2 linked regions of the Nothobranchius furzeri genome follow. The protein of the gene in region 2 purifies or fractionates together with the protein of the main gene of each other region. This does not show direct contact. Links are inferred from orthologs where the notes say so. Each region holds a gene or a part of one and is shown on either strand. Other genes may lie near its edges.

Region 1 (4,536 bases), on a different chromosome or scaffold from region 2:
ATTGGAGAAACTACATTACAGTAAAATAGTTCACGGGGTTACTTCTTGTATAGAACAAACAGGAAATGGTTTTGTGTTATCTAAATAATAATGTTCTACCACTCCGAATGACACGAAATGAGAAATAACCACCCAGCATAAATTTATATTGAAAAGAGTCAAGGTGTCACGACACAGTCCTAACGACCCGAAGGGAAATTCATCAGAAAAAGAAGGCGAGTTAGCGTAAAAGCAGCTCCCAGAAGCCAGGCATGTTAAAACCCATCATCAGACAAATGAATGATGCGTCAAGCTGCCTACGCACCATAGCAGGAACACGACACCACGCACTTCACAGTAAAAGCATCTGGACTTGAAAATTTACCCAAACTAGCCGATTCAACGGTAAAAACACAATAGCTGGTCACAACCTTGAAACAGCTATTGCTAATAAATTATTAAAAGGATATTATATATTTTTAATCATCAATTATTCATTTGAGTGGGTCGAATACACAAAATACACACATTTGAATAATAAGTAATCAATTTCAAATTTGACAATCAACAGGTAATGATTAATACATAAATTGTCAGAGATTATTTATATAAATAATGTGTGTTGATAAATGATCATGCATGTTGCTTTCCGAGGCCAATAAATCTATTTTATTCTGAAAATACTGACCGGAAACATATTCGATGTGCGTTGACAAACTTGCCACGATACACAAAAAGAGGGTGGAACTAATGCTAGGCTAACAAGCTAACAATTACAATCTGCGACTTTTCATAAATAATTCGCAGAATTAATTTGTGAAGAGTTCGTTATTAAAACACAAAAATGACAACGACGCCACTCCACGTTCACAAGCAAACAGAACAACTCACCATTGTTGCTGCGTAAAATCCCTCCTAACGCTTCTGCTGCTGTTGTGAATGGCAGGAACGCTTTCTGTGTTTTTTTTTTTCGTTTACTTCATATCATCTTGTGACTGGTTAGACCAATCCCAAACAGGCACCCCTTCACTTAAACCCTGCCCAATACATTCAGCTCAGCAGTAAAACGTTATTTTAAATGATACAACCGCACGATTAACACATTGTTTAAATAATCCAGTTTAATTTCACAGCATAAAAATAAATATTTACATTTTATTCTTGCATATATATCAGGAATAAGGAGCTGTAATCATTCATTCTTCATTTACTCAGTCTGGCTGTGATCGATTCTACTGGTTACACACGCGCGCCCGCACACACACACACATACACACACTTTTTTTCCCCATTTTCTAAACGTTGTAGTCAACCTTTTTGCTCATCCACGTGGGCTTGTATGTATTTATATTTGATATATAATGTATATAATGTACATTATATTTATATGTAATGTGTGTATTTATATTTAACCCAACCGAACCCAACTGTGTAAAATGTGCATTGTAAATAAAGTTAGATTGGTTTATGAAAAGTTTTGCCCCCCCTCAAAAAAAACCCCCGCTGTGGACGCTTGTGTGCGCGCGCGCACCGGAACGCACCCACCCCGTAATATACGTCATCAGTTAAGCGCGTGTGCGTCTTTCCTTTTCAGGAGTTGTAGTTGTGAAAGCACATCTAACGTTAGCTTACACTTGTGAGCCTCGGCAGCCACAACAAGCAGGTTGAACCGTTTCCAGTGCTGGATAATTCGTCGCTCTTACCCTCCGTGGTTTAAGGAAAGTCCAGCTTTTGTCCGGTATGTTCAAAAATCCGCTTTAGTGCATTTTACTGTACTCAGATCTGAGCTAAACAAGCGTAAACTACTAACAGTTAGCTGGTGTTAGCTAGATCGGTAGCCAAGTCTGCAACATATTACTAGAAAATTCGTTCCTGTTTCCTCGCTAATATGCTATTCACTGTCATGGCATTTGTGTAACTTTCCACTGTAATATATTTAAGTAATGTCGAGTTGTTTGGAGCCTGTCAAAATGGATTCTGTTAATCTCCACGGTTGTAGGATGGAAACATTTACTCAGAGCTCAGACCTGCCCAGTGATTCTGACACTAGCTTGTTAAAACCGGTTACTATAAACTCACGAGAGTTGTTTTTGTTCCTTCTTTTAGATCATGGCGGATTTCTCGGTAAGTTGAAAATGTTTACACTCACCTATTTACGTCCCTTCATATTGTTTTTATTATTAGCTTGTAGTTGAACAGATCTGTTGTTGTGGGTGGAGACGGCTAATTGTACTTTCTCTCCCTCTCTAGCTGACAGATGCTTTAGTAGACGAACCATCAAACCCGCCTAAGATAGACAATACCAATCGTTCTGTACCAGACAGAAATCCCCCGCCTCATTCAAACCCAGGATGGCCTGCTTCTGCCCCAGGAGCTCCCATCCAGCCCACAGCACCTGCTGACTTTAGTGGCGGATTGTCTGGCCCAGGTGCACCAGGCTCATTCTCATATCCCTCAGGTCCTGGAGCACCAGGGCAATACTCCGGACCTCCTTCAGCACCTGTTGGGTTCCCTGTTGGTCCTGGTATACCTGGGCAGTACCCACCTGCACCAGGAGCTCCAGGCCAGTTTCCCTCAAGTCCTGGGGCACCTGGGCAGTTCCCTGGCCAGTATCCCCCTGAAGGAGTTCCAGGACAATTACCTGGAGGCCCTACTCCTTACCCAGCTGGACCTTTTCCTTCTGGCCCTGGAGCTCCTGCTGGACCATATCCAAATGTGCCTTTTCCTGGTAGTCAGCAACCAGGAGGAAATGGGATGTACGGACCAGGAGGTCCAGGTACATTCCCAGCTCCAGCTGGCCCCAGTTCATTTCCAGCATTCCCTGCTGGTGGGTTTCCCCCAATGCCACCTGGATCATGGGGAGCACCGGCAGGAGGTGGTTTTCCTCCTGCACCTGGCCCTTTTGGGTCCAGTCCTATGAGTCCATATGGGGGGCCAGCCTGTCCAGGAGGCACATTGGTGAGTACTTGTTCTTCTTGGAAACATTTTTCTTGCTTGCTGCACTTCTTATCTGGTGTATTTCTCATTTGGTGTTTGGTGGCAAGTCAAGGTGGTGAGCAGAAACGGTCACGTTCATGATCTGGTTTTGGTGGCGGCTGCATTTGGGTTTTATTCCTTCGTCTTTGAACACTGCTCGGGTGCAATTTTTATGATAAGCAGAAGTAATCTCTTTTCAGAAGGAATCATAGAAAAATCTATTTTTGTCTTTCAGCCCAGATATAATCCACCATTTTATTGAAAAGTCGGACAAGGACATCACTTCCAGCTTCAAAGCGTGGTTTGATTAGTGCCAAAGACTGACTGTATTCCGTATCTGATGGCAGTTGTGTTCAAATGTAAACAATAAACTGGGTGTAATTCTTTCAGTGCAATATTAAATAAGTTATATTTTTACAGAACATCTATTCCCTAATGATGAAAGTTTACTCGGATATTTTCTATCATTACAGGACAGATTCAGATCTGAGGTGTTGGAAATGTAATCGTTAAACTGAACTTTTTACTTTTTCATTACTTTGAGAAGTCACCGGGTGTTGAAACAAATGAAGAAAGTTATGACTCATTCAGGTGCTGTGGTAATAATGTTGGCAGGGTCAAAGTTTTGATTAATGTTTAACTGAATTCCCTTTATTTCCTGACAATAAACTTGTATGTTACCAAGTCAAGAGTGTTGTTAATAAAGGTTAAACGCGTGTGAATCTTCCCTGTCGGATGTCATTTATCGGGTAAAAACTGTTTTTATTTATATATTTATGCACAAAGTGCCTGTCTCATTTGTGTTGTAAATGTTTCTTGCAGATGTTGCCGCATGATCTCCCCCTTCACGCTGGAATCATGCCGCGACTTTTAATCACGATAATCGGAGAGCCTGTTCCTGGTGCAGTCAGGTACACGTTCACAAATAGCATTCAGCTCATGGGACTGATGTCAGATGTGGTGTTAGGGGAGAAAAACAACTATTTGTTTTCTTTTTCAGGTTCAATGTTGACTTCATCAAAGGTTCAGATGTGGTTTTTCACTTTAACCCTCGGTTTCATGAGCAAACCATTGTTAGAAACTCTAACTTAGGAGGTTATTGGGGGCCCGAGGAGCGCGAAGGACCCTTCCCCTTCGTTGAGGGACGCCGTTTTGAGGTAAAATCAAAACAAAAAGCTCAGGAGAAAGAAATATAATTTTATTTTTACATCTGTACTTTATAATAAGAATACAGCAAATGTAACGGAACACAGAGACTTTTGAAATTTTATAAAAGATGTAAAGGCAGCTTTTTGAGAGTGATGCTACGGTGGTCCTCCATGTTAGATGTGATTCCACCACGACATGTTTTATGCAGGCGTGAGATGCAATATTTATTTACACCTAATTCAGCAAGCTTTAGTTAGATTCAGTATCAGAAGTGTCATCTCAGCAGCTTCCTGACGGGCCCGCTGATCTAATAATTACAGAATTAAGGTAACTTTTATGTGAACTTCCTATGGTAGTGGTGGTTTTTTTTTTTATTAGTGAGGGTCCTGACTTAAAGAGCAAGTCACCACCCTGCCTGAGTCTTTCTCCACT
Region 2 (4,416 bases):
AGGCGGAGGGAGGCTACCCTCTCATTCACTGGGGTAAACCCCAAAGTACAGGCACCAAGATGGGGGCCACTAGTATGCCCACCCCTGCTCTGCGCCTCTCAGTGGGAGCAACTCCAGAGTGGTAGAAAGTCCAACCCCTTTCAAAGAAATTGGTTCCAGAGCCAGAGCCATGCGTTGAGGTGAGTCCAACTATATCTAGTCAGAACTTCTCAACCTCACACACCAACTCAGGCTCCTTCCCCACCAGAGAGGTGACATTCCATGTGCCAAGAGCCAGCTTCTGTAGCCGAGGATCAGACCGCCAAGGTCCCTGCCCTCGACTACCACCCGACCCCTTTGGCCCCTCCCACGAGTGGTGAGCCCATGGGAAGGGGGACCCACGTTTCCTCTTCGGGCTGTGCCCGGCAGGGCTCCATAGGTGAAAGCCCGGCCACCAGGTGCTCGCCAACGTGCCCCACCTCCAGGCCTGGCTCCAGAGGGGGGGCCCGGTGACCCATGTCCGGGCGAGGGAACACGGTTTCCATTTATATAATTCATCAAATGAGGTCTTTGGGCTGCTCTTTGTCTGATCCCTCACCTAGGACCTGTTTGCCATGGGTGACCCTACCAGAGGCAAAAAGCCTCAGACAACTTAGCTCCTAGGATCACTGAGACACTCAAACCCCTCCACCACGGTAAGGTGATAGCCCAGGGAGAGAGAAATATTATATGTAAAATATTACAATAGCTAGGAAGTGCATTGGCAAGAATCAGGTGATACAGTTCAAAAGCAGCTGAAAACTCACCTGTTCAGGCTGGCTTTGCCACCACCCTCTCCTTTTTATGCTCTTTCTAACTATTCCACCTTTCCCAGGGTCCACCGATTTCCCTCTTTTTTATTCATTTTCTCATTCCCTTTCCTTACATTTTTTTAAACACAAATGAATTTTTTTTTGTAATTTTAAACATATTTTTAATCGTTTTTTTAAATCTTTTTTATATTTTAAATGTGTTGTTTTTGTAAAGAGCCTTGTGATATTTATCTTGAGAGGCGCTAAATAAAAGATCGTTTTTCTTTCTTTCTTTCCTTTTCTTTTTGTATCTTCCACAAAACAGGGACAACTATACGATATATTGCTACAAAAAGTGTTGGCGATATTGTTCTGTCAGAATGTAAAACGTAAAAGCTGTAAAAATTGCTGCCACCTAGCAGTGAGAGTTTGAATTACACCACACCTAAAGATATAGATATGGTCGTGTAAATTCTCAATAATATATTCTGTAAACTGCTTTCAAATGTTGAATCAGCATCTTATGATGAATTACTGAGATTATTTCAGTGTATTGATATTTTCCTACATCCCTTACACTAAGTGTGCTTTGCTGCTCCCAAGCAAACTATACCACATTTATTAGTAGGCAAAGATGACCAAAGGTTTGCACCTTCAGCATCATCAACAAACTTTCCTTTTGCATGAAACATATTTTCATACTTTCATTTCACATAACTATACTTTCACGTCATGGAGATTAAGAGCATGTGTGTCTCAGCAAAATGTCATGGTAAACAGAGGATATCAATCACATCTGACTACCATAATTGCACACTGCACACTTGATCTAGCAGATGAATCACATGATAAACAGATCCCTTAGGTTACAAGGAACTTACTCTCTACTTCTACAATGACAATAAAGTCTGAAAAGGTTTTTTTACGTTACCTGATCTGCTCCAAATGCAGTGATGTTTGACTTCACCGTCCCCACACCTAGTGCAATTAAAAACAGTCCAATGTAGACCACTGGGCCACAATATGGGGCTCGAATAGGACAGTTAACATCTGGTGTACGGGTGCCGTTTGTGCATTCAACAGGTTGCAGTGGAAATGCTGTCTCTTCTCCACATAGCCGTATCCTGCTGTCATCACGTGAAATCAAAGGGAAAAATAGCATGCCAATAAAATACAAGATTAAACTTGAGGCAATAGTCCAAAATTTCCCCAGGTATGCATCTGCTAACCAGCCTCCGAATGGTGAAATCAGGTAAGTTATCCCCATGAACATCAGAGGAGCCTGACTTGCCTGAGTACCCTGCCAATAAAAAGGATTACTATTGAGAAACAGTACTAGGTTGGATGTGATGCCGTAGAAAGCAATCCTCTCTAGGGATTCAGCAAAAAGGATGGCAGCACAAGCAAGTCTCCTTCCCTGGAAGACTGATGGGGGTAAAGGCGTGTCATCGGAGTCCAATAGAGGGGTGCTCTCATCGGCATCCCCGTTGTTAGCCATGATTAACAGTCAACTTTGGTCTGGTCCTGGTTTGTGTAAGACCTGAAGGAAAATATACATTAAAAACAGATGAATTAAAGCTGTCATCTGGTGTAGACACTGAATACAACTAACACCGATTTAGAAAACAACGTGTGAATTGTTAGAGACCTGACTTTCTAAATAAATATAAAACATACACTTAGTACAAACATTATTAAGCTAGCTCAGCAGTGACACGAATATAGCTGTAAATGTTGGGTTTTACATTACCTTCAATTGATGAAACACTTGTTTTCCGTTATCTCAATTAGCCCCGTTAATGCTAACCGCACTAGTTTCTCTTTTCTAGCTTCATACTTTCTCAAAAGAGAACTGGAAGTCCACAAAAACAGTCACACCTCTATCGCGTGACACTCAGCCGGCCCACTGCAAACAGCCACATTTGCGTCGCTGCGTAGACGATACGTAACTACACTGTTCCCTACAGACTTGTAGAAGGAGCGTAAGAGCCCATCCATATGATTTAGATATCTGTTCCCGTTTACGCATGCGTTGAACCATCAGAATAAGGAAGTGGTTAGTTTTAGATATTGTTTCTATTTTTTTTTTACTTTAACATAATTAGTTACGAATGAGTGTACTGTCAAAAAGTGTTCCAGAAATAGATGTGCAATCAGGATGTCCTGTATGCGACGTCTCAAATAAAACGGAATAAAAATCATATAAATCTGATCTCCACCGGTACATGTGTTTCCAGGGAGTAGGATTGGAGACGGACTTGTAAACATTTCAAGCGTGGTTCTCTGGTAATATGAGGTAGCTGTCGTCAGCTTTTACCTTACGTGGAAGCTACGGGCATGAATCCAGGAAATGTGAGAGGAGCTGAGTTCAGAGAGCCGGCTGAAGCGCGGAGAGTGTGTCGCTTTTTCCTGGCTGGTCGTCACCAGTGTTAGCTGCACAAAGAGCATTTTGTTGTGGAGAAATGAAATTACTCTTCCTCGCCCCTCTCAGCCCCCAAACCGGGAACCATACAACAGCTGACAGAATAAGGTAATTTACTCTAGAACGAATGGAAACAACCCATTACGGCGCATTAATTAGCTAGTAACTTACAGGTAATTCCTAACCGATGTTATGTATAAGTGAAGCTGTTTGGTGGTGCTGCACTAAACCACCTACACCATTATGAATATCTGTGAAATGCACGTAACAACTGTCAGTACCTCGGCTTAAACGTGATCTTAAGCATCAAGGAAGTGTCGCATCCTTCAGTGAAACCTCAGAATTTTTTGGCCAATACATTTTTGAGTTGCTGCAAAACTGTTCGCTGCCCGTAGTGGCATTTACAGATTTTATGCATTAGTTTAAAAAGCACACCAACTACCTGTTGCAAATGACCTTTTCCTAGCTTAGCTTGGTATGTTCTATTAATGTAGGATTAGGTAAAAAAGTTTATTTTAATTCATGCAAAAGCCACAAGTTGAGTTAAAGCTTGTTCTTGGTTTATACATGTTTTCATAAAAACATACTTTGCTTATTTTCATCAGATTGATCATTCAAAAGAGATGCATAAAAGTTATTATACAAGAGATCATACAGTCACTAACCATTTTAATTAACTTATGGGTTAAAATAAGTATCTCTGGGTCTTTTTCATGAATGAGGGCAAAATAGAGCGGGAGATCGATTGGTGCTGTGTCTGCAGTTATGCAGTCTATTGTGCTGAAGAGAGAGCTGAACCGGAAGGCGACGCTCTCGGTTTACCAGTTGATCTACGTTCCAACCCTCATCTATGGTCACAAGCTTTAGGTAGTGGCCTAAAAAACAAGATTGCTGATACAAGCAGTCAAAATGAGTTTTCTCCAAAGGGTGTCTGAGCTTTTCCTTCGAGATGGGGTGAGAAGCTCAGTCATCCGGGAGAGGCTTGAAGTAGATACACCGCTCCTCCACATAGACAGGAGCCAGTTGAGGTGGCTCAGGCATCAGGTTGGTTGGTGAGGTTTTCCAGGCATGTCCAACCAGGAGGAGACCTAAAGGAAGACTCAGGACACGATGGAGGGACTATGTTTCTCAGCTGGCCAGGGATCACCTTGGGGATCTCCAGGAGTAGCTGGCCCAGGTGGCTGGAGGGAGGAAGGTCTGGGCCTCTTTGCTTAGGCTGCTGTC

What was found.
Region 1: the proteins of slc15a4 (region 2) and lgals3a purify together in Homo sapiens (affinity purification with mass spectrometry; 3 studies listed by BioGRID and IntAct, counting the BioPlex papers as one, with this or other methods). This does not show direct contact. The link is inferred for Nothobranchius furzeri from reciprocal best matches to the Homo sapiens genes SLC15A4 and LGALS3.

What each region holds. Positions count from the first base shown.
Region 1 is NC_091758.1:19,583,303-19,587,838, reverse strand, and holds the start of lgals3a (galectin-3), read left to right. Parts: upstream 1-1,569; 5' UTR 1,570-1,717; intron 1,718-2,085; 5' UTR 2,086-2,088; coding exon 2,089-2,103; intron 2,104-2,229; coding exon 2,230-2,937; intron 2,938-3,777; coding exon 3,778-3,866; intron 3,867-3,955; coding exon 3,956-4,112; intron 4,113-4,536. Other genes in the region: gmfb (glia maturation factor beta), read right to left, coding at 871-873. UniProt on the Homo sapiens protein: Galactose-specific lectin which binds IgE. May mediate with the alpha-3, beta-1 integrin the stimulation by CSPG4 of endothelial cells migration.
Region 2 is NC_091757.1:35,119,565-35,123,980, reverse strand, and holds the start of slc15a4 (solute carrier family 15 member 4), read right to left. Parts: upstream 2,838-4,416; 5' UTR 2,521-2,837; intron 2,311-2,520; 5' UTR 2,269-2,310; coding exon 1,702-2,268; intron 1-1,701. Other genes in the region: glt1d1 (glycosyltransferase 1 domain-containing protein 1), read left to right, coding at 3,233-3,300. UniProt on the Homo sapiens protein: Proton-coupled amino-acid transporter that mediates the transmembrane transport of L-histidine and some di- and tripeptides from inside the lysosome to the cytosol, and plays a key role in innate immune response.